Sus scrofa: one gene and its partner. The protein of the gene in region 1 interacts with the protein of each later gene in a biochemical or structural test. Links are inferred from orthologs where the notes say so. Each region holds a gene or a part of one and is shown in the gene's direction. Other genes may lie near its edges.

What was found.
Region 2: of the proteins of TRIM25 (region 1) and ZC3HAV1, one has a biochemical effect on the other in vitro, tested with the Homo sapiens proteins (2 studies listed by BioGRID). The link is inferred for Sus scrofa from reciprocal best matches to the Homo sapiens genes TRIM25 and ZC3HAV1.

The regions. Positions count from the first base shown.
Region 1 is NC_010454.4:33,205,934-33,209,586, reverse strand, and holds part of TRIM25 (E3 ubiquitin/ISG15 ligase TRIM25), read left to right. Parts: intron 1-2,511; coding exon 2,512-2,611; intron 2,612-3,653.
Region 2 is NC_010460.4:10,567,688-10,571,340, forward strand, and holds part of ZC3HAV1 (zinc finger CCCH-type antiviral protein 1), read left to right. Parts: intron 1-140; coding exon 141-315; intron 316-3,653.

The DNA.
Region 1 (3,653 bases):
CCCCCCACCTCCACTACCTCCCAGTGTCCTAGCTGGCTGTGACCTTTAACCCTCTCCTTTTCCAGCCCTACTGCTGGTCCGTACTGGTGGTGGAGCCAAAGCCGGCCCAGCTTGGCTCAGTCACTGGTGCGGGGTGGACTCGGGCCTCTGGGTCCCACATCGAGGCATCAAATCCCCAGTTTGTGAAGGGATCCTCAGAACTTCGAAAAATCCCCTTCCCTTGATTCGGGCATTGTCGCTGCTATCAACATCTTGGCGGCTTTCTTTTTGTCTATAGCCGTCTACCATCAGGGGACTGTTGTATACAGTTGATTAATGGTGGGCAAAATCTTTCAGAATAATAAGTTCAGGGTCTTGCTAACAGTGGGTCTTGGAGGTGAAACCGTTGGTAGCTCCCAGGTGTCCTGAGGTCTCTTCCAACTCCAAGACCAGTGAGACCAGATCTTCCTGGGCCTGACCTTTTTTTTTTAACGGCCACACCTGTGGTTTATGGAAGTTCCCAGGTATGGGTGGAAGCGGAGCTGCAGCTGCTGGCCTACGCCACAGCCATAGCCACACAGGATCCCAGCCATGTCTGCGACCTATACCACAGCTCATGGCAACACCGGATCCTTAACCCACTGAGCAAGGCCAGGGATCGAACCTGTGTCCTCTTGAATACCAGTGGGGTTCATTACCACGGCGCCACCATGGGAACTCCTGGGCCTGACCTTCTGCCTTTGGCCAATAGTTTATCTTGGCCACTGTTAGAGGCCAGGTCAAAGCACACTGTTACAGAGGTCACATCTGAAATGTCATCAGTGACTTGGGCTTTTGGGTTGAATTAGGTTGGCCTTGGTCTCTTCCAGCTGTTACATGTGACTGTCACTGGGTTGTTCAAGAGTCAAGGTCAGGTTCAGCCCTGCAGAGCTCTGGTGGAGTGGGAAAGGCCATGAAATGGAAGAGAGGGCCAGAGTATTGTTGAGCCAGCCTGTTAGGGAACATATATTTTTTTCCCTAGAAATTTCCCGTGTGCTTAGTTTGGACATGAGTCTGTAATTGTAACACCCATGAATCGCGATGTGACCTGGGGCAAGCCACTTAAATACTCTGTGCTTCAGTGATCATCTATAAAGGATGGATAACCCTTACCTCCTCGTGTTGTTTTTAGCTTTACATAGTTAATATGTGGAAAACCGAGAACAATGCCTGGCTTGGAGTAAGTACATGATAAACATTAGCTGCCATTATTGTGGTGGTGATTTTCCTACTCAGTTCTATGCCCCAACATTTTGCCTGAGAAGGGTGAAATTCAGATACTGATTATGGAAATTTATGGAAATACTAAGAGGCTTCAGATAGTATTAACTTCCATCTTGCATAATCTACCTTTGTATCTGAAGGTGGCTAGGGGCTTAGCAGCGATGCTGAATCCCCTTAATTCAGTTTCAGGGATTGAGCTGTTGGTGAGCCGGTCTTCTGCCGCTTCATCCTTATTCCTATGGTGTAGCCCTCCCTGCCTGTGGCCCTTACAAGTGAGCTTTGGACTCTGATTTGTGTCTCCCTGCCTCTCTGAGGCTGACATCGGAACGAGCAGGTGGTTCTGGGAGAACAACCCCCGAGGCCAGGCTTATCTCTGGGTTTCCTTCTCTTGGATTTTTTTTTTTTTGTCTTTTTAGGGCCGCACCCACGGCATATGGAGGTTCCCAGGCTAGGGGTCGAATCGGAGCTCTAGCCTCTGGCCTAGACCACAGCCATAGCAACGCACGATCCAAGCCACGTCTGCGACCTACACCATAGCTCACGGCAACACCAGATCCTTAACCCACTGAGTGAGGCCAGGTATTGAACCCGCAACCTCATGGTTCCTAGTCCGATGCGTTTTCACTGAGCCCCAGTGGGAACTCCTTCTTGGATCTTATCACATAATCCTTCCCTGCTTTGTTAGCTCCTCACTGGTTTTTAGTAGGACCCCCTCCCCCCATATTGTGTCTGCCTTTCTGGCTGTTTGCAGTGGGAGGGTTGGTTTGAACACCCTCCTCTGCCCCTCACTGAAGCAGCTGTCCCAGCTCATTCTGTCTCTGTGAGCTTGGGCACCTTGCTGTCTTCTTTCCTCAGTTTCATCATCTGCGGAGAAGCCCAGAATAACCCAAGCTGAGATTTACTAAGGACATTTGTCCTTGTAGATCTAGGTGCTGTGCTACGGCCTCAGATAATCCCCCTACTAGCCCTGCAGGGTGGAAACAGTTGCATCTGTTTCATGGCCAAGGACATAGGTGGGAGGCAGCTGGATAGCTGGGAGTCTAGACTGTCTGGCTCCAAATCCTATGCTTGTAACTTCTTTATTGTCCTGGCCCCCAGAAAGGATGAAGGGAGGGGGGTAAATATGAGAATGTTCCCCCCCTCCAAAAAAAAGCTACAACAGTCAAGACGTGGAAACATCTGTGGGGTAGACTCGGGGTGGTCCCTGGCGTCCAGTGCTGGTGGCGTCTGGGACGAGGTGTTTTCTCACCTGGTTTGTTTCCTCCATAGAACAAGCTGAGGCATAAACTGACTATCATGTACAGTCAGATCAACGGTGCATCGAGAGCGCTGGAGGACGTGAGAGCTAAACAGCAGGATGTGCGGGTGAGTGACGAGGCTTCCCACCAACAGCCTGGCTCTGCAGCCTCCCTCCTCCTCCAGGCAGGACAGGCTCAGCCCTGACTGCCCCATGGCTCATGTTGGGTTCACTCACAGTGTCAGACGTAAACATCAGCCTTTGAAAACATGCAAAAAGCTATGTGCTCAGAGAGATCCTTGACAGACCCAAAACCTTCCTACAGCCCAGCTTTGGGTGGAGGGAATCATTAAAAATTAGGGTTAGGCATTCCTCTTGTGGCTCCAAGGGTTAAGGACCCGATGTAGTCTCCATGAGGATGTGGGTTCCATCCCTGGCCTTGCTCAATAGGTTAAGCATCCCTCGTTGGCAGTGTAGGTCAAAAATGCGGCTTGGGGAGTTCCCGTAGTGGCTCAGTGGTTAATGAATCCAACCAGGAACCATGAGGTTGCGGGTTCGATCCCTGGCCTTGCTCAGTGGGTTAAGGATCCGGCGTTGCCGTGAGCTGTGGTGTAGGTCGCAGACTCGGCTCGGATCCTGCGTTGTTGTGGCTCTGGCGTAGGCTGGTGGCTACAGCTCCGATTCGACCCCTAGCCTGGGAACCTCCATGTGCCGTGGGAGCGGCCCAAGAAATGCCAAAAAGACAAAAAAAAAAAAGAAAAAGAAAAAGAAAAAAAGAAAATGCAGCTTGGATCTGGCATTGCTGTGGCTGTGGTGTAGGCTGGCAACTGCAGCTCTGTTTTGACTCCTGGCCTGGGAATTTCCACATGCTGTGGGTGTGGCTATAAAATTAAAAAAAGAAAAAAGAAAAAAAAGTAGAGTGAAAACAGTAATATAAAAAGTGGTAATGAGTTAAGTGGGAGAAAGACAGGAAGGAAAAGTTGCATCTGTTTATTTTTTAAAGTGTATTCATTTTCTAGGGCTACTGAAACAACTTAGCACAAACTTGGCTTATGACAACGGAAGTGTGGTCTCTCACAGTTTTGGAGGCCAGACCTCCTAAGTGTCAACAGGGTCATACTCCTTCCAAAAGTTCTGGGGAAGAGTCCTTCCTTGCCTCTTGCAGCTTCTGATG
Region 2 (3,653 bases), on another chromosome or scaffold:
CAGGAAATTCAGAGGTCCCCTTCAGCCCTCCAGTTTGAATTCTGTCCTCTTATCAGGGACGACCACGGTGTGGAAAGTATAGAAAACAAGCGTTTTGCTTCAGGGAAGCATGTTGTTAACACTGAGCTTTCCCTTCTCAGCCTTTCTATTGGAAATTATAAACTCAATTTCCAGGAGATGACTTGTGATTATAATCCCATCCGACGCCTCTCCACGCCTTCATCTGTCACGAGGCCGCCCGGTACTGTCTTCACCACGAAATGGGTTTGGTACTGGAAGAGCGGACCTAACACATGGGTTCGATATGGGGAGAAGGTGAGTACACTGCCTCCTTGTGGACACTCTTGTGTAAACTACCCAACTTCCGAAGAAACTCTGATGCCTGCCTGGTTACCGTGGGGCCGGAACCTGGTAGAGGATGCTGTACGTTTTTACGTTATACCCACAGCCCTGTCCGCACTTTTTCAGCAAGTACGTACTCCGATTGCATCATAACAATTATAATTTTTTTTTTTTTTTTTGGTCTTTTGTCTTTTCAGGGCCACATCCACGGCGTGTGGAGGTTCCCAGGCCAGGGGTTGAATCGGAGCTACAGCCGCTGACCTACACCACAGCTCACGGCAACACCGGATCCTTAGTCCACTGAATGAAGTCAGGGATCAAACCTGCAACCTCATGGTTCCTAGTCAGATTTGTTTCTACTGTGCCATGACGGGAACTTCTTTTTTGCTTTTTTTAAGGCCACACCCTCTGTACATGGAGGTTCCCAGGCTAGGGGTCATCTGTAGCTGCCAGCCTACACCACAGCCATAGCAATGCAGGATCTGAGTTGTGTCTGCGGCCTACACCACAGCTCACAGCAATGCCAGATTCTTAGGCAACTGAGCGAGGCCAGGCATCAACCTGCATCCTTGCTGATACTAGTCGGGTTTGTTACTGTTGAGCCACATCGGCAACTCCCCTTGAGATGACTCTCTATGTGTTGGTACAGAAATGTACAGAGGCCATTGCTTTCAGCCAGAAGAGGGGCAAGAGTGAGCAATCAGAAGACTGATGGAGGTGGCCACTGGGATTCAGTCACAGTCTGGATTCAGAGAGACTGGAAGATGCTAGGCTTACCCACAAAGGGACGGAGAAACAGGGGAGAGAAGTTTAGATAAGCAGAGCTTCCGTGTAATGTCTTTCTTCACTTTGATTCATAGGATTAGAAAGAGAGGCCTGCTGTATGGCACAGGGAACTCGTTTCAGGAACCTATATGGGAAAAGAATCTGAAGAAACATGGATATATGCGTACACATAACTGAATCAGTTTGCTGTACACCTGAAACTAACACAACCTTGTTAATCAATTATACCCCAGTACAAAATAAAATTTAAATTAAGAAATAGGAGTTCCCGTCGTGGCGCAGTGGTTAACGAATCCGACTAGGAACCATGAGGTCACGGGTTCGATCCCTGCCCTTGCTCAGTGGGTTAAGGATTCAGCGTTGCTGTGAGCTGTGCTGTAGGTCGCAGGGGCGGCTCGGATCCCAAGTTGCTGTGGCTGTGGTGTAGGCTGGCGGCTACAGCTCTGATTTGACCCCTAGCTTTGTATGGGCTCTTCTTCGTTTAAGCTGAGGATCATGGCAAAGTGCACTTGCGGAAAAGTGACTCCCCCGTGAGGGGCCGGTGGAAGCAGGAATTATAAACTCCAGTTCTTCAGCTTGGTGATTAGATAAAATAACTAAAGAACGCTCAGCAGAGAATAGATCACATTTAAATTTATACAAATTCTGTCACTCATGTTCCCTACTAAAACATCAAGAAACTTTTTTTTTTTTTTTTTGCTGTTTAGGGCCATGCCCACAGCATATGGAAGTTCCCAGGCTAGGGGTGGAATCAGAGCTGCAGCTGCTGGTCTACACCACAGCCACAGCAATGTGGGATCCAAGCAGAGTCTGCAACTTATACCACAGCTCACAGCAACACCAGATCCTTAACCCACTGAGCAAGGCCAGGGATCTAACCCGAAACCTCATGGTTCCTAGTCGGATTCGTTAACCACTCAGCCACGATGGGAACTCCTGACTGAATTTTTTTTTTTTTTTTTTTTTGGTCTTTTTGCTATTTCTTGGGCTACTCCCGCGGCATATGGAGGTTCCCAGGCTAGGGGTCGCTGACTGAATTTTTAATAAGAGTTGGGCAACTGAAATTTCTGGGCTAGGAACCTTCTTGATAGGAACAGGGAGAGTAGAAACTTTGGCCAAAAAAGGGTAGATGCGTATGTTTTGACAGTGAACTCTCTGGAAGGTAGAATTAAGAGGTGGAAGTTTAGGTGCTAAGCCAGGACTTGGCGCCTACACAGATGGGGGCCAGGGAGAGGACAGAGTTAGGAGTAACTGGAGGTGGAGCCAGGGACTCATGGGCTTTGCATCAGGCAGGGGGTGCAGACCCAGACCCTGGAGAAGTTTCCTCGCCGATAGCCAAGCTTAGCCACTGGGAGAGCTGGCCTTGAGGGGCAGGAGTTCATTGCCCAGGCCCAGGGCAAGCCACAGCTCTAGAAAGCCAAGAAAGGCAATAGTGTAGGCACAAGACAAAAGCCAAGCCCTGGGTACTGAAACTGAGACGTAAATTCAAGAATACATAATAAAACAGAACACTGTAGGAGTTCCTGTCGTGGCTCAGTGGTTAACGCGTACAAGCGGGAACTATGAGGTTGCAGGTTTGATCCCTGGCCTTGCTCAGTGGGTTAAGGATCTGGCATTGCCGGGATCTGGCATTGCCGTGAGCTGTGGTGTAGGTCACAGACGCAGCTCAGATCCCATGTTGCTGTGGCTCTGGTGTAGGCTGGCAGCTCTAGCTCCCATTTGACCCCTAGCTTGGGAACCTCCATGTGCCTCAGTGGGGCCCTAGAAAAGGCAAAAAGACCGAGAAAAAAAAAAAAAACAAAAAAAACACCACTGTAAACCAGCTATAATGGAAAAAGTCAAAATTTAAAAAAAAGAATACATAATAAGCACCCCCCAGCTTTTTTTTTTTTTTTTTTTTGCTTTTTAGGGCCACGCCTGCAGCACATGGAAGTTCCCAGGCTAAGGGCTGAATCAGAGCTGTAGCAGCCGGCCTACGCCACAGCCACAGCAACGCCGAATCCCAGCCACATCTGCGACCTACACCACAGCTCACAGTAATGGTGGATTCTTAACCCACTGAGCGAGGCCAGGGATCGAACCCACGTCCTCATGGGTGCTCGTCGGCTTTGTTACCACTGAGCCACAATGGGAACTCAGCCTTCATTCCACCTTGAAACCACGCTTTCTCATCGGATGATAGGCTGAAATAGCCACAATGTTCTACTTCATGCCAGGGGGTTGGATTCTGTTAGACAACGAGTGTAGCCCTGATGTCTGCTCGTCGGGTACAGGTTGCTCTGTACACTTGGCTCATATTTTTTTGTTTTGCTTTGTTTTTAGGGCCGCACCTGTAGCATATGAAGGTTCCCAGACTAGGGACTGAATCTGAGCTGTAGCTGTTGGCCTGCACCACAGCCACAGCAATGCAGGATCCCAGCCGTGTCTTCGACCTACAGCACAGCTCACAGCAACGTCAGAACCTTAACCCACTGAGCGAGGCCAGGGATCAAAGCTGCACCCTCATGGTTCCTAGTTGGATTCAT